Linked DNA regions of Notamacropus eugenii. The protein of the gene in region 1 interacts with the protein of each later gene in a pairwise test. Links are inferred from orthologs where the notes say so. Each region holds a gene or a part of one and is shown in the gene's direction. Other genes may lie near its edges.

Evidence for each region.
Region 2: the proteins of SAT1 (region 1) and CCDC148 interact in binary tests that used the Homo sapiens proteins (3 or more experiments, as listed by UniProt). The two-hybrid records come from large-scale screens. The link is inferred for Notamacropus eugenii from reciprocal best matches to the Homo sapiens genes SAT1 and CCDC148.
Region 3: the proteins of SAT1 (region 1) and RBM17 interact in binary tests that used the Homo sapiens proteins (3 or more experiments, as listed by UniProt). The two-hybrid records come from large-scale screens. The link is inferred for Notamacropus eugenii from reciprocal best matches to the Homo sapiens genes SAT1 and RBM17.
Region 4: the proteins of SAT1 (region 1) and DIPK1B interact in binary tests that used the Homo sapiens proteins (3 or more experiments, as listed by UniProt). The two-hybrid records come from large-scale screens. The link is inferred for Notamacropus eugenii from reciprocal best matches to the Homo sapiens genes SAT1 and DIPK1B.

Annotation. Positions count from the first base shown.
Region 1 is NC_092876.1:453,304,848-453,312,378, reverse strand, and holds the start of SAT1 (diamine acetyltransferase 1), read left to right. Parts: upstream 1-4,526; 5' UTR 4,527-4,943; coding exon 4,944-5,009; intron 5,010-5,622; coding exon 5,623-5,674; intron 5,675-5,766; coding exon 5,767-5,850; intron 5,851-7,450; coding exon 7,451-7,531. UniProt on the Homo sapiens protein: Enzyme which catalyzes the acetylation of polyamines. Substrate specificity: norspermidine = spermidine >> spermine > N(1)-acetylspermine. This highly regulated enzyme allows a fine attenuation of the intracellular concentration of polyamines.
Region 2 is NC_092876.1:217,434,218-217,441,265, reverse strand, and holds the start of CCDC148 (coiled-coil domain-containing protein 148), read left to right. Parts: upstream 1-4,032; 5' UTR 4,033-4,178; exon of another isoform or gene 4,179-4,202; intron 4,203-4,227; exon of another isoform or gene 4,228-4,371; intron 4,372-4,491; 5' UTR 4,492-4,659; intron 4,660-7,048.
Region 3 is NC_092874.1:178,123,487-178,130,952, reverse strand, and holds the start of RBM17 (splicing factor 45), read left to right. Parts: upstream 1-4,454; 5' UTR 4,455-4,716; intron 4,717-7,466. UniProt on the Homo sapiens protein: Splice factor that binds to the single-stranded 3'AG at the exon/intron border and promotes its utilization in the second catalytic step. Involved in the regulation of alternative splicing and the utilization of cryptic splice sites.
Region 4 is NC_092872.1:489,126,446-489,133,878, reverse strand, and holds the start of DIPK1B (divergent protein kinase domain 1B), read left to right. Parts: upstream 1-4,423; 5' UTR 4,424-5,337; coding exon 5,338-5,400; intron 5,401-7,433.

The DNA of each region.
Region 1 (7,531 bases):
TATATGTGTATCTTTATAGATATCTATGTATATGTACATATATCCTTAATCAATTGTATCCTTCTTTGGGGGGAGAGGAGAAAGGGTTTAAAAAAAGCAAAAACTACATAGTAGTGTACAAAAGAAAACCTACAAGGAAGTCAAGAAAAACTGGGCAGCTCTTGGTTTTAGATAGATACTACTTAACATTTTAAGGAAAGCTCCATTTATTCTTGTGCTTTCTAGCACTTTTAGCAGGAATGGGGATTGTATTTTGTCAAAAGCTTTCTTCTATATCTGTTGAAATCGTTTTTGTGGTTAATGTGTGCTGTCTTGATAGAGGCAGCAAATTATCTGAGCAAGATCAATTTATTAGCTAGACTAGCAGTAGCCAATAAATTGGGCGATGACTCTTCAGCAGTCAAAGACGCTGAGGAAGGGCTGACCCAGTCTTCTATGGTGATAAACAAGACCACAGAGCATAGGTGTTCCTTCTCCTGATTAGCTGGAAAGCAAAATCTTTTGACATCACCTTGATATTGATTGCTTAGACCTCCCCTTCTCAACCCGCACCCCCCCCCCCCACCCCGCCCCCAACCACAAACAAGACTGTGATTTGGGTCACAAGACAAAGGTAAAATGATCCTGAAGGATAGAGGGTTCTATGAGGAGGTGGAGTAAGTGTTAACTCAGCTCCTAGGAATAACAACATTCTTGAGAGATTACATTAGTTCTCAAGCTGTCAGAGTAGTGGGCAGGTAGGTGGGGTACTGGATAGAGTGCTTGGCCTGGAGTCATCTTCCTTAGTTCAAATCTGACTTCAGATACTAGCTGCGTGATCCTGGGCAAGTCACTTAACTCAGTGTGCCTCGGTTTCCTTATCTGTAAAATGAGTTGGAGAAGGAAAAGACAAACCACTCCAGTATCTTTGCCAAGAAAATCCTTAGTGAGGTCAAGAACAGTTGGACACAACTGAACAACACTCAGCTAGTATCCTGTGCTTAGTAAAGGCTGCTCTTCTTCCCCTTGAATCTGTGACCTGGGACTGGGTAATGGGTGACAATGCTGCCAGATGGGCAGCCTTTCCTGCCCCCAGCACTAGTTCTGGGGTCCCCCAGATCTCTTTCTGTCACTATGATTGCCTCTTATTCTGGTGCTGATGCCAGTCTTCTGGACAACCCTCACCCTAGAGTCAGCAGAACCCCCTTTTTGTCTTCCTAAGCTGGCTGGGGGGGTAGGGGGTGGGGAGGGAGCGATTCACTGTAACTTTGCTTGACTTTCTTGATCAGAATTCAGTTTAGTACATTTTCTAGGTTGTTGTGGAAAAGATGTATTGAGATAACTAGGCAATAATGCTGATTCTCACTGCACCATCTTGACTCCGTCCTTGTCCAACCATTTTGGAAAGCAACGGACAATCAGGCTAAGAAAATGACTGAAACGTTCATATCTTTGACCCAGAAATCCCTTTGCTAGGCATGTAACTTGTCAGCTCTGAAAAATAAATGCTCAAACAGCCCACAGAGGTTTCAGCAAAAAAGCTTTACTCCAACTGTCAACTGAAAAATTAAACAAAACACCAAAGAACTCACAGAGGTTATAGATAAAAAGCCTTCTGTATTCCATCACAGGAGGGAAACTAGACATGCATGCTGGGGCCTGATCTAAGACCAAGGTAGCCCAAGACAGGGAGGCTAATCCTTGATGTATACAGAGGTGGCATGACAAAGAAGGAAGCAGTGAGGTGTAACCACTACAATGAGGTAGAACAGCAACAATGTGGCAATTTGGCCTCCAACAAAAAGTCCATTCATCGCAGCTTCATGACCTGAATGTAATTCCTGCAGGTGCTTGCCCAATCTCAGGGACCACCTGGGGCTGGTTTGAGACAGTTCTGTGGTTTAGCTGCAGCCCAATTCTCCCAGAGGGCAAGTGCAAAGAACTGTTACTATGCCAAGCTCAGGGCACAGCTTGCTTGCTGGGCCTTCGTCTGGAAAACTGTGTCCTGACAGAGGAGCGAAAAGAGAGGAGTGGTTTTGGCGTGCAGGTCCTGACAGCTAGCAATTGACTTCTTCACTGAGCAGTTCTAATCTACAGTATTTAAAATATACCTTAAAACTCATATTCCCGCTGTTCTCAAACTGAAGTTGGATCTTGATGGGGAGGGTCAATTGTTTTCTCAGATGATCGTTTTCCTCCCTAAATTGTCCTTTACATAATTGACACAGGAAGTACTCAGGAGAGTACCTCAGTGATGGACCTATTTTCATTTGCCTTGATGACAAATGCTCATTTAGTTCCTGGATACCCAGACCCAACTATGGACTTAGGTAAGGTTCTTGAAATGTGCAGTTTTGCAAAGGACCACTTTTTGTTATGACTAGTGACCCAGGTGGTCCCCTTCCACAAAAGGCATCAGCCTTGGATTTCTACAAACCAGGTTCATGCTGGGAGGGATCCTATACACTAAAAAAAGAAAGGGAGGTCAGGCTTCTGTTCTCTTTCTCATCTTTGATGTGGATTAACTTCAGTGAAATCTCTAAAACCAAAGTTCATGTATAGGGTCTCCCCAAGGTGGTAGAAGTGTCCATTTCAAAAAAGTTACTCCCTGTACAAATATCAATTAAAAGACAATGGTTTATTGTCTCCACCAGAGAAAATACTTAAAACACTAAAGATTCATAAGCCTACACAAGTACAGAAAACATAAATCCTCTCAACAATATTCTCCTGAAGGTAAAGGCATTTATTTAGTGAGACTGCTTAACAGATCTCACATTCATCCTAGACCTACACTGTCTAAGGAACTCTCCAGATGTCCAGGTCGGTTTTTTATTGTTTACACTTTAATCTTCATCTATAGCATCCTTCTTCTCCAAGAAATGGTGATGTTTTGGAAATAAACTCTCATGAGATGACTGTTATGGAAAGGGATTGAACCAAATGAGCTCTGAGTTCATCTCTTGCTATTCTAGATCTATGATCCTATGAGAAAGGTAGGGGAAGAACATTTCTTTATAGTAGTGTACTGTTTGGGACTGTCTTTTACTTTTCACTGGTCCCAGAAAATCTTAGAGCCCCAAATGTGTCAGTTGTATGTAGGTCCCTCTGGCTTAAGTTTAGAGGACATCAAAATACCACAGTGTAAGAGAGTAATATGTGAGAGACAGTAAAAGTTGTTTCCACAGTGAGTTATTGTTAATTGACGAAGTCATTGAGAATAAGTTAGAAAATAAGAAGGCCAACAGATTGCAGGTGGATTCAACCAGTCAAAAGACAGACAGACAAAATGACAAAATTTTTGATAAAGGAACCAAATCTACAGCTATCTGAAACTAGACAAGAAAAATGACCTAGAGTTGCCTAGAGAAGGCTTGTCTTCACTGCGCTTGCTTAATGAACCTCATGCATATAAGCAGACATCCCACATAAAATTATCCCTCCATTTTCTGATCATGGATCCTATGTTAGAGCATGTTTGGGAGGGAGGATCATACCAAGGGGCGTTACACAATGGGAATGTAGAGAGAGGGTGACCTAATGGAGGATGGACCAATCCATCTCCTGGTGGGAGGATCTGTCTTCGAGTAGCGGCATACAGCTCATCCTGGTGCTGTATCCAACGCTCCCTCCTCCTCCTGAAAAGAGGATGGCAGCCAAAGTGTTCAATTCCTCCAAACTCTGCTGCAATACATTTTCCTTGATACTTTATTAGAGTCAGGGGTGTTTCTAACAAATAAAAGGAGGTAATTCGTTCCTTCTCTCTCTAATTGTACTGTCCTATCTATACTTTGAAACAAATACCTACAGTTCAAAAGCAGCCTGTCTCCTTTTTCCTGTCTTCTCTCCCCTTCCTCCCTGTCCACCCTAACGAGAGAGAAGTTTCACTCTAGCGGTCCATGAGGGGAAGAGGATATAGAACGCAGAAAGCAGAACCAGAAGTAACAACGTTATAGAGACAAACAACTTGGAAAGCCTTAAGAACTCTCATCAGCACAAAGATGGACCAGACGCCAGAGAACTGATGCTGAAACAAGGTCTCCGTCCCCCAGCTCGGAGGGAACACATTCAAGGGGCACAACGAGACCATTTTCAGCCAGGGCTGGAATTTTGTTTTTCTTGAATACGCATGTTGGGTACAAGGTGTTTTAGGATTTATGGGGAGAAATACTCCCGGGTCCAGAGAGAGCCGATGAGGGCTGGGGGCAGACGGACGCATATTTGTTCACTGTTTTTCTCGGTTTTTCACGACATGGCTACTGTGGAAAGTAAGCTTTGCGTGATTTTACACGTCTAACCGACATCGCATGTCTTGCCTTCCCAATGGGTGGAGGAGGGGGAATCGAGGAACATAATTCGAAATTCAAATTTAAAAAAAAAGTTAATGCCCCAAATAAAAGAAAACAAGGTTTGGTTTGTTTTTCCTCAATGGATCAGGGAGATGGAAGAAATGAAATCTGGGTTCCTCATAAAAAGAAAGTTTAATTTTTTAAAAAAATTCTGCTCGAATCCAAGCCATAGCTAAGCGTCGAAGAACAGCAGGCGGCGCCTCCGCATCGCCTCCCGCGAAGGCTCAGGGCGGGTCGGGCCTCCCGGCCGGGAAAGAGGGCTCCACCTGCTCCGGGAAGGGCGGTGCGGGAGGAGCTGGGCCGGCCGGGCCGGACCGGGAGCGAGCGGACCCGCCCTCGCCGGGGCCGGGCTTCGTTCCATTGGCCGAGGGGAGCTCGGAGGCGGGGCCGGCTCCCCCATAAACAGAGGCTGCGAGGGCCGGCGGGGCCACACCTGCTCCGATCTCCGCGGACCTAGGGAAGAGCCCCCTGGTCGTTCGCCGCCGCCGGCCCCGGGTCATGCTGCCAGCCTGACTAGGAAGAGGAAGCTCCCGGGAGACGAATGAGGAACCACCTCCTCCTGCTGTTCAAGTACAGGGGCTTGGTCCGCAAAGGGAAGAAAAGCAAGAGACGAAAATGGCTGATTTCGTGATCCGCCCCGCCACGGCCGCCGACTGCAGTGACATCCTCCGGCTGATCAAGGTAGCCCGGCCGCCGCGCCCGCGGAGCCCGCCTGGGGCCGTCTTCTTGGGGGTTAGGGTGGGAGAGGACCTAGAGGACCCTAGACACCCGGGGCTCCCCTCATCCCTGCAGGGAAACTTTCTGAGCTGGCCAGAGTCCCGTAGGAAAAGAGAGAGACGGAGAAGAAGGAAAGAAAGAGAGAGATTCTGCGTGGCAGGGACCGTGCTAAGGTCCGGGGTCGGAAATCCAGACCAAGGGAGTGACAAGGACAGGGACAAACTTAGCAGAACCTGCGCCCTGTCCGCTCACCGCCCGGGTGATGGTCTGTGCGGCCGGTGCACGGCTCCGCCCACGCCGGTAACCAGCAGGCGGCTGGATTTTCTGCCTGCCCCTTCTGGCGGAAATCTGGGAGTTCGCATTTTCCCCCCTCACTTAGTTTCAGGTCCGTTGCGCGTGTTTAGAGTGGACCAGGAACTTGGCCCAGACTTCTCCCGCTCCCTGAGCAGAGCTCTTGGCCCTGAGCCTGGCGCTGCAGGTGCTGAGACAATAACCCTGCCTCTTGGAGATAAAAGGACTCCGGGTTCTTATGTGTTGTTTTGTCTCTCTTCTTTCCCTTTTTATCTGCTCTTACCAGGAACTAGCAAAATACGAAGAAATGGAAGAACAAGTAGTGCTAACTGAAAAAGGTAACTCATTTGAAAGGAGGTTTGTCTAATAGCCTTGGTGACCGGCACCATAGCCATTAGCCATTTTCTGTCCCTGTTGGCCTTTCTTATAGATCTGCTTGAAGATGGGTTTGGAGAGCACCCTTTCTACCAGTGTCTAGTGGCAGAAGTGCCCAAAGAGCATTGGACACCCCAAGGTAACTAACTTTGCCCCACCTGTCCTGTTCTTTCTCTTGCCCTTCTTTCTCCCCACCCCCACCCCAGTAGGGAATCAGAAAGAGACAGGATGTTGATATAATGTCTAGTTTTTGCTTAGAACGGTTGGCTAATGCAGAAGGTTGAGAGTGTGCTTTTGGGAAAGGTGGCCAGAAATAAAGCAATCCGATGTTGAAACTAGAAAACCAAAAAAAGTGGATGTAGTGCCATTCTAAAAATAGGGTGAGTTAAAAGAGGTGTTTGTCAGCAAAATGCCCTACGTATTCCCCGGAAAACTGGGTATGATGTCATTTGATGTAATTCAGTTTCATAAAATAGTTCTTGTTTGACCCTAACATAACCTTTTTCTGTAATCGTGTTGAATCACATTTTTTCTTTAATTTGTCCCAATCTTCAGGTTACAGTCTCTAGCTTCGCCATGTACATGGCCCTTCTGTGTACATGGATGGGCGGGGAGGTAACTAAAAGATCCGTTACTCAATAAAGTAGATGATCATGATAAATGAGGTAAGGCCTAGAGGGACAAGTCCTCTTCCCACACAGTGTAAAAACCAAACCAAACCAAACCAAACACACGGTAGATCAGAAATTCCATTAGGATCTCTTCCTGGCTGTGTTTACAAACCAGGGTGAAGTGGCTAAAACGTTTAATTTGACCACTGACTAGTACGCCTTTTGGGACTATTGGCAAATTCCAAAAGTTAAGTCAGCTGTTTGAAGTTGCTGGCTCATTGTTTACTGGATGGGAAACTCAGATAAAAAGGGAAACTCTCTAAGGAAGGCGGGGGTGGAGGCTGTTTCAGGTTAGGAGGTTTGGTTTTTTTTTTTTTTTATTGGTGGGGGTTCTGTGTTGGGTTTTTTTTTCCCCCAGAAATCTGTTCCTTAAAGTAAAGGGAAGAAATAGGCAGCACTTTCACCCACCTGGCAGAGGATTAAGTGTGAAGTGCTTGCTGATCCAAGGTACAAGGAGGTCACTTAGCACTGTTTATCTGCCTCTTGTGCCCTGAAAAACTGGGGAGAGTAAATTGGAAAAAAAAAAAAAAAGCTTCTGGAATTAGCTGAAGCTACTGGCATGGTGTTCTAACCTCAAGGAAGTAGAGTTCATGAACTCCTTGTACTTAATAATATTCTGAACTGCCGTGTAAACTCGATTTATATTCACAAGTGGACATACCAGTAACGCAGTAGGTTGGGAATAATGTCTGTATTTACATAAAGGTCATAGCAGCTCAGCTCTCGAGCCATTAAAACTGTTGGAGTTTCTGTGAGGGGTCCAGGAGATTGCAGAGTGGGTCACACATAGACAAAGCGGTTATTCAGAGATGTCAGAATTCTTCTCCTGCCTCCAGCTCTAATGTGCGCTTCTTGCAAACTCAGAACAGCAGGGTAGCCTAACAATGGATCGTACTGTTCTAGCATAATGATAGCTGCATGCAGAGACTGACTGTGATAGCAGCTTAGTTTTCAGATCCATGCATGTAAAATTCTAAAACCTGTAAACATTCTGAGTGTGTGGCTACAAGTGCTATGGACTTTTTCTCCTGTTCTTTTTTACTAAAATTCTGTGATCCTCTGTTCCAGGATACAGCATTGTTGGCTTCGCTATGTATTACTTTACATATGACCCATGGATTGGGAAACTGTTATATCTTGAAGACTTCT
Region 2 (7,048 bases), about 240 Mb from region 1:
AATTCCCATGGGTAGTTTATGCACTGGAAGAATCTTGAATAAACCTTTCATTCATCTTTAAAGGGAGGGATACAGGCATTAATTCTATAACAGAAATAAACAACCTGAGGAACAGAGATATTATTTGCAGATTATAACACATACCCTAGATTTTATAAAATTCCCCAAATGTTATTTCATCAACTGATTGGTATATTCCAGATGAAATGCAAATGCTAATATAATATTTACGATCATATGATTGTTTAAATTTTCTCTTAAAATCCAAATGTAGCACTAACATCTTTATCACCTTTTTACAAGAAAATATGAATGAGATTATAGGGCAGTTTCTGCAGTTTGGATTTTGTAGTATGACCTACAAAACTATCTTAGAATATAGTGAAAAAGCATTTTGTATTTTGAATTAAATCACAAGTTATATTATTTTCTATCATCTCTGGTCATAAGGTCACAGTACCTTCCTCAATACTACAGAATTTAATACTGCACACCACGGACAGATTTCAGGGGGTCCCAAAACTTGGATGGGAAAATAAAATTACATCATTATAGCAATACAATTGTTTCCTATGTGATCCTATGTTTACTCTATGCATTTAAAAACATTACTCTTGAGACTAGGCTTTGGTGAAGAACCCCTGCTCTTGTGAATCAAACATAATGGAGCAATTTCTATAAACAGAATCAAAACTTTAGAATGCATGATTGAATACAGAAAGGTCTCTCAAGCAGTTAAAACCATCTACCTAAAACATGTATACAGTATATATATAGCTATTTCAATTTGCAACAGAGAATACAGCAAGGAAACAACCTGTTCTCTATCCTTTAGAATGAATTTCAAATCAAATAACAATATAATTTACCTTGTACTGTCACTGGTTCTAAAATGTTACATAATAAAAGTTTGCTGCTACAATTACAAAAATCTATGTCCTTTACAATGATAGATATCAAGCAGACCCTTAATTTAGAATGTTCATCAACTGTAAACATAGGTATAAGAAAGCTTCAGTGGTAAGGTGTAATTTTCTCTAAGTTTTTGTTTTCTATTTTGCCTTGTCCAGTTTTCATACAAAAGTTTCATGCTATACTCTTCATGGCTCAATACAAGCCAAGTGATCACAGAAAAATATCTTAATTTGGCAAATAAATTTATCATTTTCCTGAGTCTGATCCAAAATTTTCGGAGGAGTTTATAGATAACATTCTCAAAAGCAAAATGTGTCCCATATAAAGCACACACAGTAGGTCTCTCAAAGCAACATACATAATCACTTTTACTTTTCGTTCCTTCCCCCCAGACAATAATTTTGTTTGTTTCCATTAAGGTTTCTCTACAACACCAGAAAGGAAAGCTTCCAACAAATTTTGTTTAATGTACTTGTACAAAATCATCTGTGACCTTGTTACTAAAAGTGTCACCAAAAAGACAAGTCACATAGCCAAATGAAAGAGAATGTAAAATATTGCAAACGAAAAAATTCTCCTCTCTTTAAAAATATATCAAAAGCATTCTTCAACTTGTTTCCTTCATGTTAAGAAAAAAAATCAACTTTTCACTTAAAAAACATACCAATAATTTTTCATTTTATTCAATTGAGCCACCATGCTTAAAAGTTATTCTCTTTTCCTCTTCCCCTTCTCCTAAAAGGACTGGGATAATTACAAAACCAGAAACATGACCTTTCTTAATAAATATAAATCTTGGAATAGACATGTCTGTGATTGTTATATCTCATTGTATTTCTCTGCTATTTCAAAAGGTAATTGACAAGCCCCTAATTTAACTGTACCAGACAGTTCTATCTGTCCCATCTCTGGTCAAACACTGCCTCTCTGTTTCTATTCATTATGCATTATATGGGATTCTAAAGCAGCATGGCAGGATCAAAAATTACAAATCTCATGACATCTGAGGTCCACAAATCTTCAGATTATGTCTCCCTTCACAAGCACTAACAGACATTATTAAAACGGCTAACCATGTTGTTTGCAACAGCACCATCCTAAAAACATCCACCTTCTGCTTCTCTGAGAACCCAGTGGCACACAAAAATCAGACACTCATGAAACACTGCAAACCAAACTTGAGAAGATTCAACGACCAATGACCTTGTTAAGTGGGAGTCTTTTTCCCCCTCCCCCCAATTCATCCTCCTGAAGAAAAATGCCGCAAAACCGAGCCGAAGCACGAATACTGCCTGCCAGGCTGACGGCAGGCAGATCTGCTTGTCACACTTCCCCAGTGCCCGCTCTGCCGCAAGGAGAGAGGGAAGGAGGCGGAGAAAAGTAAGAGCCTCACCAGCTCCCGAGAAGATGCTCCAGTGACCTCTGGCTAATGGAGAGAGCTGAGCAGGGAGCGGCGGCAGCGGCAGGGTGTGCATACTCTGCCCCCAAAGCATTCCTCACATTCCTACACAATCTACCGCCCGAGGAACAAACAGCGCGCGTCTCCTCCAGGCACACACACACCTGCCTATTCATCAGCCCTAAGCGGCTACAACCACGGTTTCAGAGCCGCACTCGGCGGCTTGTCGCACTCCGCCAACACGCAGCTAAATCCGAGCCAAATCCCCCTCCCTGCCCGGGCAAAGGAGGCTAGTGGCAAAAAGCTGCTCCGAGACAGCCGCCCAACGGCCGAGGAAACGTTATTTCAACTCCTGCGCGTAACATGTTGGGGAGCCTGGGGGATCGGGGGAGAAAAGATGTGCAGGAGGCAAAAGAAGACTGGTAGAGAAGTGAACTGAGGAGTACATGCAGGAGTGCGGATCAGGGGGAAAGGGGCTAAAGCAACACTCACGGAGAGAATAAGGGTGTGTGGAAGATGACCAAGAAGGGGTGAGGGGTGCAAGACAGACCTCCACGCTGGAATTGGGGTAGGGGAGGCGGAGAAGAGGTGTTCAAAGAAAGGAAAAGCGCAAAGCAAAGTGGAAGATCTAACCAGTTCTCCAGAATTCAGTTAAGACTGGTGGGAAGAGGACAGGGGTTTAAAGGCTTGTAGGAGATGGAGAATTTAGGGCAAATCAGATGAACAGGAGGTTTTACTAGAGAAGAAGGAGTGGGGGAGTGGGGAAGAGAAACGAAGGTGAGGGCAGAATGAAAGAGGGTATGGGGAAGAGGAAGAAGAAGCCAAAGTACGGGGCATAAAGCCAGAAGGGACAGGAGAGGGAAAGGAGCAAGGGCAGATTTGCAGGGAAGGATTAGTCGGAGGGGAGGAGGAGGGAGAGGAGGTTGGTGGGGAAGGGCGGAATCTGAAAGCCACAGACCAGGGAGAGACCGGAGAGTATAAATATATACACAGTCCAGGAAGGTAGAGAGGTAAGCAGAAGGGAAGGGGGAAAAATCCTGGGAAAAGCAAATGGAGGTGGAAACTTCAGTGCCTTGGGGGGTGGGGGGGAGGGGAGAAGGCGAGTGCAGGCAGGAACACGAGGCGGGGCAGGAAAGGAGAGAAGTAGGTGGGTGGGGGCGGTTGTAACGGGAGTCTCCCCTTCCCACACCCTCCCCCACCCTCGCCCCGATCCCGAGGTTTGCGGGGTGAGCCGAGGGAACAGTACCAGGAGTCGGGAAGTGAAGGGCCACGGAGTGGGGGGTGGGGATAAGGTTCGGCGCCCTCCCCGCCTGCCGCACACTTACTTTCCAGGTTAGGAAGCGGCTGCCGACGCTCCGGGAATCGGGGACATCCGCGCGGAGGGGTCGCGGCTGCGGCACCCAAAAAAAAAGTGCCAGGGCCAAGGGAGCTTCCCTCCCCTTCCCCCGAACCCCCCCGCTGAACCCCCTCCCGCCCGCCCGCCCCCTCCCCTGCAACACTTCTCCCACCCCACCCCCGGGAGGCGGCGGCGGCGGCCAACTTCCCCCTCTACCCGGTGCCCATGGTGCCACCTTCCTCGGCGACAGCACGGAATCAGCCCCGGTGCCTGGGTGCTGCCGAGCTCCGCCAAGCAGCCCCCACCGCCCAGTCAGTCAGTCAGTCAGCCAGCCAGCCAGCCTAGGGCTCCCGGGAACGTCAGCACGCCGCCGTCCCCCGACCTGCTCCGCACCCGCTTTCATTGGACGGCAGGAAAAGGCTGTCCCACCCTATTGGCCCGGCCCTCATATTGAACGGGCCAATGGAATTCGGGGTTTCAGGTCGCCATAGAGACCGATGCTGTTAAGAGCGAGAGCGGCTAGAAAAGGTGGAGAGGGTGGGGAGAACGAAGGTGTCCGGCTTCGGGGGTGGGGACCCTGGGGGTGGGTTACGAGGAGCCAGAGTATCCTAGATCTAGATCCAAAAAGGACTTCGGGGGCCACCTAGTCCAGCCCCTTCATTTTACTTTTGAGAAAACTGAGAGCCCGGAAGGTCCCAGTGATTTGCCTAGAACCACCCGGGTAGGAGGAGGAGTGGGAGGATTTGAGCCGGGGGGATTCCCTCATTCCGTATCTTAGACGTGGATTGGGTGGGCCTTCCCTTCCCTTTCTTCCCCTGATTTCTTGCTTCCCCCTTGACAGGCCTTGTCCGTGGTACCGAAGACACCCTACCCCACCCCCAAACCCATATAATTTACCTGTCCCTGAAGGTGACCTCAGAAACAAGTACTGCATGCACTTGTCCTTGGTTTGGGAAACGGGCCCCTGAAACTACGCCCTTTGACCTAAATGCAGCATCAGCTAATGCGGGTGAGTCTGTTTTCCCATCCTTCCCTCTTCCCCCATATGCAAAATCCCCTGAATCTTGTGTTACTCAGGAATTCCTTTTCTGCATATTTATCTCACCCCCTGAAGATCTCACTTCAAAGTCGATGTTTGAAATTCAGGCCCCAACCGGGAGATATTTTTCAGGAGTATTTTTCCTTTAAAGGAAAACAAAAATGGCAAGGAAAAAGTCAGTGTGGTGAGTTACATTTTACAGTGAGTACAATAAGGACTGGAATTTAAAACACATTTTAACCTAGCCCACAACTTCTCATCTCTCCTTTAGTATCAAATGGAATTTATTAAGCTTCTGCCCATAATAGAGCAACAAAACAATCCAAGTTTGACAGACAATATCTATAGTAAGTAGGAGATTGGCTTCTGGGTAAAGGTATAATGTGCAACTTTAATGCCTCATGCTTTTTCATATTTGTATCATAATCAAGGGGAGAGAGGATGGAATCAAAATTCTGGTCAACAATTTTTAGGGAGTTTAATATTCCTTAAACTTAAGTGTGAACCTGGTTTCAGGTAACTGGAGTGAGCATGTGCATCTTAGGTTTTAATCCTGCCTCCCTTACTGCTTTGCTTTATGACATAGTCACCCTGTTCCTGTTTCCCAATCTGTAAAATGGAAATAAATGTTATTTTTCTAAGTCTAAAAAAAGGAAAATGGACCCAGTTAAAGCAAGGACAACTAATGAATTTCACAGGAAATAATTATTATATTATTGCAATGGAATATAACCATTAGTTTTCTAATGATATTTATTTTATTAAAGATAAAAGGTTTTTTTAAGCTATCAATATCCAGGTTACATTTTTATTAAAGAACCTGCTGTTTTAAAGACAATTTTGTGAAAAATGATTGTGTTTTTGGAATATCTAGAAATTTGAAGTATTTAGAAATATTTCATTGAGAGAGGAAAGTCTCTTGCTTCTGTTATGAATCTTAAATTAGATAATGTGTTTTGCTATTAGATTTTTTAAAAAAAAGTTTGGAAGCATTATACAGTAGTGTCCCTGGTCTAATCATAAATATTATGCATTAGCTCATTAATAGGGTGACTGTGTTTTCAGGCTCCGTAATATGTGTGATAAAATCCAAACCTAGTTGACATCTTTGTTCAGGGTCAGACAATCCCAGATGGCAAGTGAACATTTGTACAATTGTTTGTGGAGTGACTTGTACGTATCCAGTGCTGGGTAGGGAGCAACAAGTCAGTGGGTTCAGTGTTTTCTTGCCTTACCATCATGGGAATTTGGTCTGCCTGCTTTGGAAAGGGATAACTAACCATGCTTCTGTTGAAAGACAGAATAAGTAAAATTCAAACTTTATAAATGAACCCACAGGAAAAGTAATACATTGATGAGCATACGACATGCCAGTGCTATATAAGGTTTGATTGTAACAGCTTATGAATGCAAGGTATTTTTATTAATGCAGATAGAGCAGCAATGATTTCATTTTCTCCATTTCTGGGGCTGAATGGGAAGCAGAAGAAACAAAAACAAATTATTTTCATTGTAGAATTATATACTTTTCCAAAATGATGAATTTCATTAGGATTTTATATTGCATATGCTGTTTGTAATAATTAAAATTGAATAAAATATAACTAATTTAATTCTGTAATATGCTACAGCTCAATATACATTTATTTTACTATAACTATGGTAAAAATGGTTCTCTTTGATAAACCTACAGAACTCTAGCTACTGCCCCACTTAAAGAAAAACTAACATTGTTTGTTTCAATTAGGCTTATTTAACAGATAAATTAGTAATAGTTTGGATTACAATATAATTCTTTGCCATGCTCACAACTTCACTTCGGGGATCCTTTTAGATTATACTGGGCTGATATATTTTAAAATAATATTAACTTTACAAAAGTTCAGTTTATGCTCAACTTTTCAAGAGTGCAGCTACTTTGTAAAGTAGGGGCTTATTGTCAATCAAGTCAATCAAGTCTGACTCTTCATGACCCTATTTGGGGTTTTCTTGGCAAAGACACTGGAATGGTTTGCCATTTCCCTCTCCAAAAGTAAGGGTGCATTTGTATTAGATAATTATTCTTTGGTATACCACTTTTTTGCTAAAATAAGAGTGCAATTGCACTTATTTTGACCTGACAAAATCAAACAAGCTATTAGTGCCAAAAAATGGAAAAGAAAAAGGCAAAGGTACGAATCTTGACTATCATCATTTCCTGCAAAAGTATAACCTGTTTGTTGTCCTCCTGACAGTTTCCTTTAGCACTCTTTGTGTTTTTTCTTTTTTCCATTTTTATCTGTAGTACAAGAGGAACCACCACATGTAATCCCCAATACCTTGGTCCCAGATCTTTATCCAAGAAAATAGAAATGGCCCT
Region 3 (7,466 bases), on another chromosome or scaffold:
CAAGCCACCCCCTCTATGGGTGAGGACACTGACCGAGGCCTTCTTTTCTCTCTCTACCATCTCTTTTGATAATTAGAATGTGCACTCCTTGAGGGCAGGGACCTTTTTTTTTTTTTGCCTTTCTTCAGTGCCTAGCATTAATATATATATGTTGACAGTGGGACTCTTGACGATCTAATTAGCTACCACAGATTTACCCATCATCTCTCTCTGCAGATGATTTCCAAATCTATACATATAGCCCTCATCTCTTTTGACCCCTAGGCTGGAATTACCAAATGTCTGCTAGACATCATCTTGTGCATATCTCATAGTCATCCCAAACCCAACATGTCCAAAACAGAAACCATTAACCTTTTCCCAATCAACCCCTCTCCTAATTTCTACTAAAGGCACTACAACCAGTGGGTCAGTAAACATTTATTAAGTACCTACTATATTCTAGGTACTTTACTAAGCATTGGGGATACAAAGTAAGGCAAAAGACAGTTCTTCCTTTTCAGGTTCTTAGTCTAGTGGAAAAGACAACATGTAAACAGCCAGGTAAAAAAAAGATATGAACAAGATAAACTGATAACAGATTATGGAACATAATGAAAGACTTCTTCCAGAAGGGGAGATTTAGCAAGGACCTGAAGGAAGCTGAAGAAGGCAGTAGTTAGAGAACCCCAGGCATGTGAGATAGCCAATGAAAATGCCCAGAGTCCAGAGAAGCAGTAAGTTAGTTATTTAAAGGACACCAAGGGAGGTCAGTCACCCAGGTTCACAACTACTCTCCCACTCTCCCTCCCTATCTCCAATTCATGGAAAGGTCTTACTGAGTCTGCCTCTACCACATGTTAAGGGATGTTAAGGGGTCCCCTGAACTTGTCTTTTTGAGTTGCCATATTTTCCAGAAACAATGAACCCAGAGCATGCAGGAAACCCTAAACGTGTCAAGGATGAAGCTGACATAATTTGTCATTGCACTCCCAAGCTGGACTCCCTGTGTGTCCTTGAGAGGCAAAACAGGTGCCAGCAAGTCTGTGCCAGGCTAGGACAATGTTTGTGCAGCCAGGGTCCTTTGCAGATAAGCAGACCCTCCTGTCTTTCGTAGTCTAGCAATTCCCAAGGGAAAAGAATGTGGCTTTTGCCTTGGCCTGCTCCTCCCCCGCCTTGCTGCATGGGTCCCTTTCCCATGTCACACTCTTTTCTGGCATCCCCTCCTCCCTCTGTCCTACAATTATAAAAACGAAAACTTCTGTAATAATTGTGAACTTTTTGCTTCACATTCATTTCCACATTCCTTTTGTAATAAACCTAGTTTTCACCTAAGTTTTGTACAGGTGTGATTTCCTATTGGTGCATATCTCTGCATTCTATTACTATTTCTGTTCATACAACAACCACCCAAGTTCAAGCCTCATCACCTCTAGCCTTGGCTGACAATAAATAGCCTCTTCACTGGTTTCTTGCCCTTCAGTTTCTTACTGATCCAATCCATCCTCCACTTAGCTGAGAAACTGATATTCTTAAATCCCAGACCTACTCAGGTCTGGGCTCAGTTCAGGCTGAAGAAGCTCGGGTGGCTCCCTACTGTCCCTAGGAGGATAAGAAAACAAACGCCTCTGTCCAGCAAGTGAGGCCCTTCAAAATCTGGCTCAAACTTGTCTTTCCAGGCTGATTCCATCTTATTCCCCTTCACAGATTCTGTGTAATAGGATGTTCCGACTGCTGCTTCTGTGCCTTTGCAAAGACTTCCCCCACCACCACCCCATCCCATCCCCTTAAGTCTGTCCCTCTTCTTCCTTCAGACTCCACTCAAAAGCCACTTTTTACAAGAAGAGGCCTTTCCTGATTCTTCCAATTGTTAGTATCCCTCCACCTTGAGGTCACTTTGGGGTTTTTTGTATATTCATTTATCTGTAGTATACTCTTTTGTGCTCCTACCCCATCCCCCAGCTGTTGAAAGGCACAAACTGTTTCGGTTTTTGGTTTTTTGTTTTTGTCCACGTATCCCTATTACCTAACTCAGGTATGTTCAACTGCAGAAATTTAATAAGCAGCCCTTATGGAACTTCCATTCTTTGGGAAAAGTTGAGGGAGGGGGAGAGGGAGCAAGCAGGCAAGCAGGGGAATCCTTTTCTGTTTTGCCCCAACAGACTATGCCTAGGGGCTGACCTTAGGGGATAATAGTTCCTTTTCAATACAGAAAAACCATTTTTCTACTCCTTACCAAGTTACTATCTCACTATCAAAGCAGCTGTTCCAGACCTTTTCATCTTTCCTGCAGTCTTCCATGGTACCCTCTCTGCCCCACCCTTAACTCCACCCTCCAAGCTGACTATCCTATCTTTTACTGTCACTGAAAAATTTGAGACCATTTGCCAAGAGTTCCCCTTTCCCTCCTCCTGAGAAAAACTAGGACCGGACACTTGGTTTCTTTTTGAACAGACACCATCTGTCTTTTGAACATCACTTAACAGGATGTTTTCTAACTGGATGTTTAACTGGAGTCTGTGATCCCTCCTTCAATTCATCTTCCACTTAGTTGCCAAGATGCTTTTTTTCTACTCAAAAAATTCCAGTGGATCTCTACTGCCCCCTAGATTAAATACAAAATCCTCCTGTCTAGTCATTAAAGCTTTTTCCTAAACTGACCCCTTCCTGCTTTTCTATCCTTTTTAAACTTTATTCCCCTCCATCCTACTTGTTCCTGAACAGACCACTCCTTCTCCTGATGACTTTCCACTAGCCTGAAACACTTTCTCTCTTTGCTTGACCTCAGCTTTCCCGGCCTCTTCCAGAAGGCTGGTCCTCGCTGGTCTCTCCAGTCCCTAGCGCCTTCTGCTCTCGGATGGTCTGCCTGGTGAGTTACCCGGACTAGGAGCTCCGGGAGCCGAGGGCTGTTCTCGCCTTGGTTCGTCATCTCCAGCCTTCACCGCAGCGCCCGGCCCACAGCGAGCGCACATCTTGTCGATTTCCAGAGCCTGGATTGCCTACAAAGTGCAGAGCTCGGAACACTTACCAGTCCCCTCTTAGGGCTCGGGGTCCTCACCTGTACAAAGAAGACTCCTATTTGTGCTACCTGTCTCACAAGAATTCTGTGAACTTATAAGCCAGCTCGAACTAGTACTGTTACTGCAAGGCGTGAGTGAGTTGTTGTTCGTCCTGGGTTCTTGAAGAGGACCAGGGATATCAGGAGCGGGGCGTGACCTGGATTGAGGTGAGGGCCTCACTGTCCCCTCGGAGGTACCGTTGGCAGGACACAGGCTGGGCTGGCCCAGGGCGCAAGGGGGGACCTTGGCCTTTCTGGGTCCTTCCCAGGTCTCACTTGGTCTGAGGCAATGCCGGATCAGGAATGAAAGGCGAGGTAAGAATTGAGGCCGAAGATGGCCTAGCTTGCCTTCCCAAAAGGAGGGGAAGACCATAGCATAAGCCTTGGCCATGCTCTGAGCCATCAGAGCCCAAACAATGACCTAGAGGCGTGGGCGGGGACCTGTTATTGGCCAATCAGTGAGAGCCAGAGGGATGTGGTCAGCTGGCTCCAGCTGATCCCCAATGGACTTTATTCAAGCCTGGCTTTCCAGGGCTTTATTTCAAGAAACCATAAAAGAAAACTACACTGGGAAACAGGAGTTAATGGCAGGACAGCCAGAAGAAGGACAGGTTGGGGAGGCCCCGCCCCTTAGAAGGGGGAGGTAGAGGCTGGAGGAGCCGAGGCTCCGCCCCCACTCGTGGAGCTAGACTGTCTCCTCTCCGCCTCGCTCACACGGCGCCCCCTGCTGCCTGGAGGTTGATCCCGCAGCACAATTTCTCCCTCCTGCGGCACATCTGCAAAAAGAAACTGAAACGTGGCCTGATTTTGCTGCAGAGAATAAGCCACCTCCAGAAAAGAAGGCAGCCAAATGGAAGGAAAAATATGAAGCGGCTATCGCAGCAACCTAAACAATTAAAGGAAAACCTGAGACCAAAAGCTGTGGTCCCCAAAAAGCTGTTGTTTGTAGAAACAGAAAAGACGTGGGCACGACCAGTGACTGGCAGTGGGGGTTACTTTTCTTCCCTTCAGGCTGGAAATCAGCACCATCCTCCTCAAATGAGTCATCAGGACCAAAGTTCGAATCCTGCCTCAGACACTTACTAGGTGTTGGGATCCTAGGCAAGTTTCCTCATCTGGGAAATGGGGGTGTTGAACGACTTTAGCCCAAAGCCATCAGAGAAAGAAGGACCGAGGCCAGAGGGAGGGTAGCAGGAAAGGGGCCAGGTGCTGTCAAGTTTTACCTCTGGGATGGGATGGCCTGTTGAACGCTCACCTGCGCAACTGGGGGCAGAGCTCGCCCGAGGGTCCTTCCCCAAAGCTCAGAACCTAGGGCGAGGATGGGAAAGAGGCGAGAGTGAGGCGTGCTCCTGGCCTCCCACCGATAGATGTCGCCCCACAAGCAGACGCCTGCTCCTCCCGCCTAGCCCTGACGCGCGCTCTCCCCGCTACCGACCGCGAGCCGCCGCTTCCTCCACGCATTTGGCGCAGGGATTCGTACGGACCGCGGCCGTGGCGTCTCCTGACGCTTACGCCGTTCGCGTTAAAAAATCCTCCCGCCTGGCTTCCGGGGCCGCTCTGCCCTTACGCGGTTGGTGGAGCTGCGGAGCTTGCGCACTTCGGCTCGGCTGCCCCAGCCACCTCCTGCCCCGCTGCCGCTGCCGCTCCGGCCCATGGGGAAAGTCAGCCGGGCCCCCCGGGTGAGTAACCCCCTCCGGCCCCCCGCCCCGCGCACAGGCTCCCCGACCGGCCCCCTCCGCTCTTCCCCGAGGCCCATGCAGGCCTGGTCCGAGCGGGAACGCCGGCCCCCGGCCCCGGGGTCGGGCCGGCTCTAGGCCGCGCTGCGGAGGGGCCGAGGGAGACTGGCCGGCCCGCCTGGGGCCCAGACACCTGTCGTCTCCCTCCAGGTCTTTGCTGGGCCCTGCTCCCGGCCCTCTCTGATCCCCTTCCTTCCAAGGGTAAGGGGCGCTCCGCTCTTGGCGGCTTACCCCCCACCCCTTCCTGCTTTCACCCCCTGCCCGCTTCCCCTTCCCGCCGCTCCCCTCCCCTTCCTTCGAAGAGCGAGGAGTCTCCTGCTTTTAGTTTCTTTCTGGAATCCCCTCTTCCTACCCCCCAGCCCCTCCCTCGCTCTCCATGCCCCCCCCTCCTCCCTTGGCCCCTGCCTGCTGCCCACTCTTACTCCCTCCGTCCCTTCTTTCTCCCCCTCCCACCCCTTTCCTGCCCTCCCCCTGCTCCCCCCCTTCCTTTCTGCCACCCCCCTCAGTCCCACTTGTTGCAGCTCCCCCCCTCCTTTCCATCCCCTCTTCCTCCTCCCTCCCCCTTTCCCCCTTTCAGACCCTTCTTTTTAGAAGCAGCTCACAGCCCGGTGAAGAGGCCGTTGTGGAATTGGTGGGGTTAGCCCAAAGGCCTCATTTCGTGCTTCAGAAAACGAAGCCACTAGTGAAAAGGATTGGGTGCTGGGGGGAAATGAGGGGAATCTTAGACAAAGTGGCCACCCCATTTTAGCGTTTATGATAGATTAGGCCAGGAAAGCCGGGCCTAGTGGACTTGTTTTGGGAGAGTCGGTTTCAAAGTTTTCTGACAAAGCATGGATAGGGTGCCACAGACTCAAATTTTACCTGGAAAGCCTGCCTAGGAGCCATAAGAAGCAAGAAAGAATGAATTGTGAAAACCCCAAGAAATACTTCTGATGAGAAGGAAAGGAGAGACTTACTGTATGTGCAGAGAACTATGGGAGGGTTGGTGGAGCTTACAAGATTTGGGGGGGAAAGAGGTTCAAAGAAGTGCCTGGTGCTCAGTAAATGAAACGATGGCCACCCACAGAAAGGAGAGCTACCAGACTCTTTATTTTTTTTGCTTTCTCTACTAAGGAAAATGATCTTTGGATTGGAAAGGAAAACACAAAAATGGCCAATAGGGAGATGATCGAGCAGAGATAAATAGGAAAAAAGTTGCAGAACAGTTAGCTCACTTTGAGGATTTTGAGTTACAGGACTCCAAACAATTGCTTTCAGAGTACTGAAAGAATGGACTGATGTTCTTGCTTAGCAGCCACTCTGGGGTGATATCTTACAGTTCCAGGAGGATTCTGGAGTTCTACAAGATTTAAGAAGCCTACTATTTCAGGGACAGTAACGTGAGTTAGGAATACAGAAACATGGAGGGTCTTGTTTGAGAACCAGCAAGGAAGCCAGTGTCACTTCACTAGGTTATTTGGGGGGAGGGCAGGCTCAAGGTGGCTAGTAAGATATAAGAAGACAGGAAAGGTAGGAAGGGGCAAGGTTATGAAGGGCTTTAAAAACCACAAACAAAGGATTTTATGTTTTATCCTGATGGTAGTAGGGAGCCACTGAATTGAGGTGAATAGGGAGGTAACATAGCCAGGCCTGTACTTTAGGAAGATCACTTTGACAGCTGAGTAGAGGGTAGATTGAAATGTGAGGAAAGACATGAGTCCAGGAACCTAACCGCAGGCTATTGCAATAGTCCAGGTGTGAGGAGAGGAGGGTGTCAGTGTCAGGAGCAAAGGAGGCCTATTCCAGAGATGCTGGACAGGGCTTGACAACAGATTGACTATGGAGAGAGGTGGAGGGAAATGAGACTGAAGAATCTAAGATGACTCCTAGGGCTAGAACCTTAGGCCCTGGACTAAGAAAGGAAGAAGGTTCAGTGAAACATTAAATTTTCAGCCCAAAAGGTGGGGCCTGCAGACTGATGAAAATGTTTGGGAAAGCTCCTTTTATGATTGGGATAGTGACTCAACTAGGGAGATAAAAGAATTGCCTTGCTTCAGTGGGATTCCAGTTGAAATTATTTTACTAATTTGTAGTGGACTCAGCAGCCAGCAGCAGAGATTATTGGACCTAGGCTTTGTAGGAGAGAAGGGCAGAGATATTTATTAAGCACCTTGCTATGTGCCAAGTGATTTACAAATATCTCTTTTGATCAGCAGAGTGAAGGATGGTTTGGAGTCAAGAGTAATCTAGAGGCTGTTAGAATAATCGAGGCAAGAGGTGATGAGGGTCTAAACTGGGTGATGTCTGTATGAGTGTTGAAAAGGGGGAAAATATTTTAGCAGTAGAAAAAACAGTGAATAACTGACCAGACATATGAGGTGAATAAGAATGGAGAGGTGATGGTGACACCAAGGTTTTGAACTCAGATGACTGGAAAGGTGATCATGTCTTTGGAATAGGATTGAGTTTGGGAGGGAAAAATGAATTTGGACATGTTAAGTTTGAGGTGCCTTTAGTAAGGGGCTCGTAGGACATTCTGATTGTCCAGAGCGGGGAAGGGAATGAACTCTGCAAGTTATAAGCCCATGAGTTTAAATTTGATTCCTGATACAATTCTAGAACATGTTAAGAAGGATGGATGATTTCTCAATAAGGGAGAAGTAATCTCAAAAAGTCAGTGTGGTTTCTTCAAAAACATGTCATTCCAGACTAAT
Region 4 (7,433 bases), on another chromosome or scaffold:
TAATGCCACTAAGCCAGGAACCCAGGTTCAAGATAAGCAGCTTCCTGAACCAAACAGAATGTTCCTATAAAGAGTAAGGAAACATATTACCACCATCTAAAAGTCCGGAAACCCTTTCAAATTCTGCTTCTTTTTCCTTGTCAATGTCCTGATTGGAAAAACAATTTGTCAGTCTCTACCTAAGTGATTCACATCAGTAGTTCGCTATCGATGGTGTCAAAGAAAAAAATTAATATTAATAATGTACTCTGTGATTCAGGTTCAAATCTGTCAGGAACAATTTTACTTCATGTAAATCTATATCCAAGCCACTTTTAGTTTGGGGAAAGGAATGTCCAAACTTGCAAAGTCCCTCCACATGTGACTCTGCCCCAAGATTTCAGGTAATAATAGGAAACTTGAACAAGGATCAGATATTTAAAAATATAGTCTGGGTTAACATTCCAGAATTGATCAAGTCATAATCCTGTTCCTATTCCCACACAGTCCTGCTACTGCTAGGTGACACAGTGGATAGAGTGCCAGGCATGGAGTCAGGAAGTCTCATCTTTCTGAATTCAAATCTGGTCTCAGACACTGACTAGTTTTATGACCCTGAGCAAGTCACTCAATCCTGTTTGCCTCAGTTTCTTCATCTGTAAAATGAGCTAGAGAAGGAAATTGCAAACCTCTCCACTACAGTCTCTTTGCCCAGGAAACTCCAAATGGAGTCACAAAGAGTCAGATACAACTGAAACTCAACAACAACACCACATTTCTAGAGTTAAACAAAGGGACTTTCTCCCTTCCTTCTTTATTAATTCTTTCTCAATGGAGAAGGATAGCTTCTAGCACCAATCACTTCAGATGGGTAGGGAGGCTCTTAGGTGAACACTACAAGAATTAAATTTGGTTATTACTCTTAATCTATATCCCTAAGAAAAGTCTTTTATGTCCTGGATCTATCAATCACTTTTCTAAGGATAAGAAAGGCTTCAGAGGAAAATATTATGACTTAACATTTCTAAAGAAACTAAAAAGGTTTTAAATATGCTTCCACAATGGTCATAGGATTCAGAGCCAGAAGAAGCCTTAAAGATCATCTGTTCCTTCCTGCATACCTCTTTACTTCTATAAAAGAGGAAGTCAAATCTTAGAGAGCTTAAGTAATTGGCTCAAGACCACACAACTGAGTAGATTTGTTGTTCAGTCATGTCTGACTCTTCATGAACCCGTCTTGTTTGGGTTTTTTGGGGGGCAAAATTACTGGAGTGGTTTGCCATTCCTTTTCCAGTTCATTTTACCAATGAGGAAACCTAGGCAAACAGGATTAAGTGAGTTACCCAGGCTCACACAGCTAGTAAGTGTCTGAGGCCAGATTTGAACTCAGGAAGATGAGTCTTCCTAGCTCCAGGTCAGTCCTGTAATGCACCCAGTTGGTCAATAAGTAAGTAGCAGAGACAGAATTTGAACCTTTGTCATTCAGTGAATCATAGTCCAGTGGCAGGACAGAGTCAAGATGGCTGGCAGAGGCTCAGGATGCAGTGGATGACCTTGGCGTCTTCAGTGTCTAAACAAGCTCTAAGCGCTCCACATCACCTGCTTTAGCTGCCTTCATGGCCATTGGAACAAATTGTTCTCATCTGCCCATTCCACCAGAGGAAGTCTTCACATGCTTGGGGTAGACACCCCCCTAACTCACCAATGAGTTTGAGAACCCTTGGTTACCCTCAACCTGATTTGGCCCATTTGCTGAAATGGTTTACCAGGGTGTGGCCACTGTGCATGCTACAGCTTCTTGGAGGCACAAGTGAGAGTTAGGTGGGGCAGGTGGACACTAAAGGTTGGAAAGAGCCCCGAAAAGGGCTCAGCAGCCATCACACCAAATGTACTGCTCATCCCTGAACACACTCTATACCCCAAGTATTCAAACTATGCTTCAGAGAGCGCAACTCTGATGGGCTGGCTACATTGCTCTAATGCAAAATGTACGTTTGCCAAAAAGACTATTTTATGAAGAATTTGAATGGGGCAAGTGATCACATAGTGGCTAGAAGAAACGATACAAGGACACTCTCAAGGTCTCTCTCAAGAACTTTGGATTTGACTATGCAACATGGGAGACGCTGGCACAGGACCACCTAGCATGGTATGCCCACCTCAGAAAGGGTACTGTGCTCTTTGAGCAAAGCAGAATTGAAACAGCACAAAATAAACACAGGATATGCAAATTTGGGATATCCACCCCAAATATTCACACAGACTATCTGTGCCCAACCTGTGGTAGAGCTTTCTGAGCTCATATTGGTTTGATCAGCCACAGTCAGATACACTGAAATTTCACTTTATCATGGTGATGTCACTTTGGTCCTCTTCGAAGATGAAGGACAACAACCAACCAAGCATTTATTAAGTGCCTAGTATGTACCAGGCACCTCCCAGTATATCATGCTATTTACATGCTAGGAAATACTATACATGTCCTTCCCATGGAGGGCAGAAAAATACTCCTGACCTTTTTCATATTACTGATACAGTTGTACCCATCAGGCTGGTTTACTTGTTCTAGACTTGGAAGGGCTCTATCATGTACTCCAGCTTTGTAGTATCACCTTTACTGAATCAAACACCTTGTTGTCAGCAGAAAATAGATTACATAGAAGTTAGGATGGGTGGAGAAAGCAAATGACCAGATTCTTCACCTCATAAATTCCTTGATCTAAGAAATCAAAAACTACTCCAGAACTAAATGGGAATCTTAAAGTAAAGGCTTTATAGCACCTTATTACAAGGTGCTGTATTATATCTTATTACAGTGGGAATGGGTCTTAACCCTTGGGAAAACTGGATTGTTGAAGCAGAGAATGTCAAATTTGCAGAACAGATCTAAGAGGTCTTTTGAAAACAAAAGAGAACCTCTAGGGAACCCTCCCCCTTTATTACAAGGGGTCTTCCCAAAGGCTGGAAGCAGCCTGTCTTTCTTTAAGATTCTTTTTCCTATTTCTACCCAGCTCTCATTTTTCATCTTCTTGTGGAATTATGACTTTTATAATAATTGATCTGATATGAACCTGTTAACATCGTTCTGGCCCCCCAATAAATGTGGTCTGTTGGTGTGTGTCTATCTTTGAGATTTTTCTGACCACTTGATTTTTTAAAAAATTGGGCAAAGGGATTTGGGAGAGGATGTCATCTTTAATTAATGGTCATGAGTTAGGGATAGCAATCTCTTTCTCGGAAAAAAGCTAGAACCAAAGGGATGGATAAAGTTGGAGCAAGCCTGCTTATCACCTCCAGCATTATCATGGTATCCAGACCTCTAGAGGACATAAGCCCTTGCTGGTCACTCAAGTGGACCAAGAAGAGATTGAGATGCCCTTCAGAAAGGCAGAGAAACTGAAAATCTCTGGGAACGGCAGGGTCAAGAAAGGGAGGAGAAGTGAAAAAGAAGCCAGATTGTGACCTTGTGGTCTTTGATGTAGTTTCTCTTGTACAACTCAGCCCAAGGACAGAGTCACATCCATTAAGATTTGAACAGCAGACATAAGGCAAGGCAAGAGGAACAAAAATAAACCCGTGGTCCCCCGGCACCTTTGTTGTTTAGTCCTTTCAGTTGTGTCTGACTCTGCATTTTAGTTGTGTCTGACCCCACTTGGGGTTTTCTTGGCAAAGATACTGAAGTGGTTTGCCATTGCTGGCAGCCTACTTGGTCAATTACTGAGTTAGAAAAAAAACCCTCATCTTCAGGGAGGCCCCTAGAGAGGAGGGGTAGAATGGGGTTTTCCAGAGAAGCTTTTTTGATCTCTTCCTCTTAGCCTCAAACTATTAAAAGCCTCTGGGATTCCCCTGTATCTCCTACTGAGTCCTTCATCTCTGCAGAAACCTTGTGATATGGTGCAAAGATTTCAGCCCTAATCTGCTCTTACTAAGTAAAAGAACAAATCAGTTAAACTTTGGGAGTCTCTTGTTTTCCTATCTGCAAAATGGGGCTAATAATACTTACACTATCTGACTCTGGAGATGGTAGTGAAGATCAAATGAATTAATCTGCCCGGGAGAGAGCACTTTGTAAAAATAAAGGCCCCATACAAAGGTAAATTGTTTTCCTTTTACCTTGGACAGAAGAGACACACTGGTCAGGAAGGGTGCTGGGGTAGGTAGCCTAAGAGCCTACCTGGAACTCTGGTGCTTGGACTCCAAATGCAGGGCTCTTTCTTTGGTGTCATGTAATGAGCTTTTAATATCATTATCAATTGCTCACATTTATGTAACTTTCTTCGATGATAGGAGCCATTCAAACCCACTGATGGTCGAAGGTGCCCAGGAGAGGGGAAAGTCACTAGACAGGATGGGGGGGGGGGGGAGGCGGGGCGAGGATCCGATGCCAATGCTTGTCACTTCCCTACTTCCTTAAACCCACCCTCAGCCTGGGAAGGAAGAAGGCTAAGGCTTACACCATATGCCTTTGACACGTCCTAAGTGTCCTATGGAAAGGTCGGGGCTATTTGGTCTTTCATGAGGACAGCCAGCAAAACCAAAACTTGTGGGGATAGGGGGAGGAGACCTCAGCACACGAGGCACCCAAGGGAGGGTGAGGCCTGGTTTAGAAGCCGACAGCCAAATCCCTGCCCCCTCCCCCTCCCTCCATCCAGCTCCCCTCATCCCAACCTAACTAGCCCTTTCGGTCGGCAGTCAAAAAGTCCCAGCTGCCAAACGCCCTCCCCTTTAACGGGAGCGCTGCACCCGGCTCAGGCGACTGGGAAGCTTCGGGGAGTCGGAGCATCCCCCCTGCAGTAGCAGCGGCGGCGGCGGCAGCAGCAGAGGAGCGGCGTCCGCTGCTGCTGCAGCCTCCCCCTCCCCGCTCCTCGCGGCCCGAGCCGGCGGCGTGCGCCCGGTCTAGGGGCCAGCGGGCAGGCTGAAGGGCTCGGATGCGGAGGCGGGGAGGGGGCCGGCGAGGCTGAGCCGGTGACCGGCGAGCAGCACTGCAGCAGCCGTGGGGGAGCTGGGGACGCCGCGCCGGGCTGCGGGGCGGCGTGGGCTCGTGCCTCGCCAGCTCGTGCTCAGTGCCCGCTGCGGCCCCGGCGGGCGGCCGGGATGGAGAGGGAGCGGGGGCGCCGGCGGCTGGGGGCTGGCCGCCGCAGCCGGGGCTGAAGACACCCGCCCCTAGCGGGGCTCCCTAGAACGAGGGGGACCCAGAAAGACAGCAGTCCGGCCAGAGGAAGGGAGGCGAAGTGCCCCGAGCCCCTCTCCCGTATCCAGGTCCTAGGGCCTGCAGTGGGCAGCTCCCGGGGCTCCGTGGCCTCTTGTTGCCTCTTCCCTACCCCCGCCGACGGGCATTGCGCCTCAGTCCCTGCCAGGATGAGGAGGTTGCGGCGTCTGGTGCATCTGGTTCTCTTCTGCCCACTGACCAAGGGCTTGCAGGTAAGGCCAAGCAAGCAGCAGCACGCTGGTGGCCAGAAGTTTGGGAAGAGGGAAGGGTAGTTGGCCCGTTCCCAAGTCAGGGGATCGGGTCTGGGCAGAGGGGGAAGGGTCGCCACAGCTAGGAAGGAGCCGTCAGAGGGGCTACTTTCCTTTTATTTCTCGGAACCATTCTTCGGAGTGTATGCTGTGCAACGGGGAAAGTCATCAGTCAACAATAGGAGATCCTTAGTTTTCTACCTTTCCAACCCACTCCCCCTCCCCCAAATTGGTATCACCCGGGAAATTGGGTACGGCCAAAGTTGTTTCTTCTTATTCCTTCCAGGAAGGGGAAAAAAGGAAGGTACATAACATACTCCCTTCAGCTCCACTCTCCATCCATGGCAAAATCTTTATACCCCTTGCCTTCTTCCAAGCTGTGTAGCCTTGCCAGTCTGCCCAGCCCCACCCCAACCACGATTCTTCCTCAGGCCATGGAGTGAGGAGGGCAAGCCATCACCCAGACTAGTTCTTCTGTTGTCCCTCACTTAGGAGCTAGATTGTGGATACAGCTAGCTGATGGGAAAGACACCTCAGGCTAAGATGGAAATGCTGCCCTCTGCCAGGTCAGATACATTTCCCAGGCTGCAGAAAGGGCACAAGTATTCATTGGCAGCATGTCCTCTAGGTTTGCAAGAGATGCCCCCTGCCTCTGACATGCTTGCTCTTCTGCCTCCCCTTCTGCCTTGTTTTAGAAAAGAAATCTGTGTTATGTTTCATCCAGGTAGGAGCATGGACCCTTAGCACAGACGTTTCCTTTCCCTCTGGCTTAGCTTGTGAGTGGCATTGCAAAAACAGACTCTCTGGAGGGAAGTAGGAGGGAACAGAAAAATAACTGCTGTCATTGGGGCCCTTTTGCTCCTAAAGGCTGAATTCAAGTCTATATTGATGGATGAAGAAGGAGGGAAAGGAAATGATTTGAGAAAATAATTGTGAGGTATGTAAAGTACAGGTAAAGTACAAAAGTTGAGGAGGTATCTCTCACTTACTCTAAGTTTGACAGAGAGGTGAATTGTGTGTTGCAGGGACCTGGTGTAGACTATACAACGAGAGAGGACAAACATCCTCTGATATTTAGTGCTTTCCTACAAAAAGGGGTTGAAGCTTTCTGATTTTTTTTAGTTTTTGAATACTTGTGATAACTAAATAGCCAGAAATCAACCCAACTAGGCAGGGTTGGCAGAGGGACATTGTTCACAGGTTGGTTGCCATGATAGAGATCAATCTAATACATTTTGTATGATTTTACATGTATGACTGATATAATGTTGCTTCCCTTCTTAATAGGTGGGGGATGGGTTGAAGGGAAAGAGAATTTGGCTCATCCTAACCCTTTAGGGGCCAGACCATGAGGAAAGTACCCAGTGCAGGAATGGTTCTGACCAATAAGCCTTCCTGGCACATACATTTCCTCCACTTCTCCTGTTAGAGAAGAGAAGAAGGCAAAAGTATAGTGGGATCCAGGGAGCCCTCTTTTGTGCCCCATACTCTCATATACTGGGGAGAGGGCTTGATATGATTGAAAGCTTTTACAAAATTTTATTTTTATTTTGAACAGCTAACATCAAATAAAGTGTGCATTTTCATATACACTATAGTATAGAAGCAGGAGGGGCTTATACGTGAAACTGTAAATTTCTATTATGTACAGCTTACCTTTCTTTCAAGTATGTAATAAATTCAACGAGTAACTTCCAAAGGTGTCCTATTTTATCAACGATTCCTTATAACTTTCCTTCTGTTTTCTTTCCACTTCTTTTTTTTTGGTTGGGGGAATCCTATCCATACCTTCCCTATCTCTCCTACCACCCCCAATTGAAAGAAAAGTTAAAGGCTTGCAACAAATATTCAGACAGACAAAATGATTTCATATTGGTCATGTGCAAAATGAATGCCTCATTCTGCACCTCTGTATGTTTGAAGGTTTTCCATTGAGGTGTATGTCTATGCTGGCTTCCTAAATCAAGCATCATTAAGCACCCATTATGTGTCAGGCA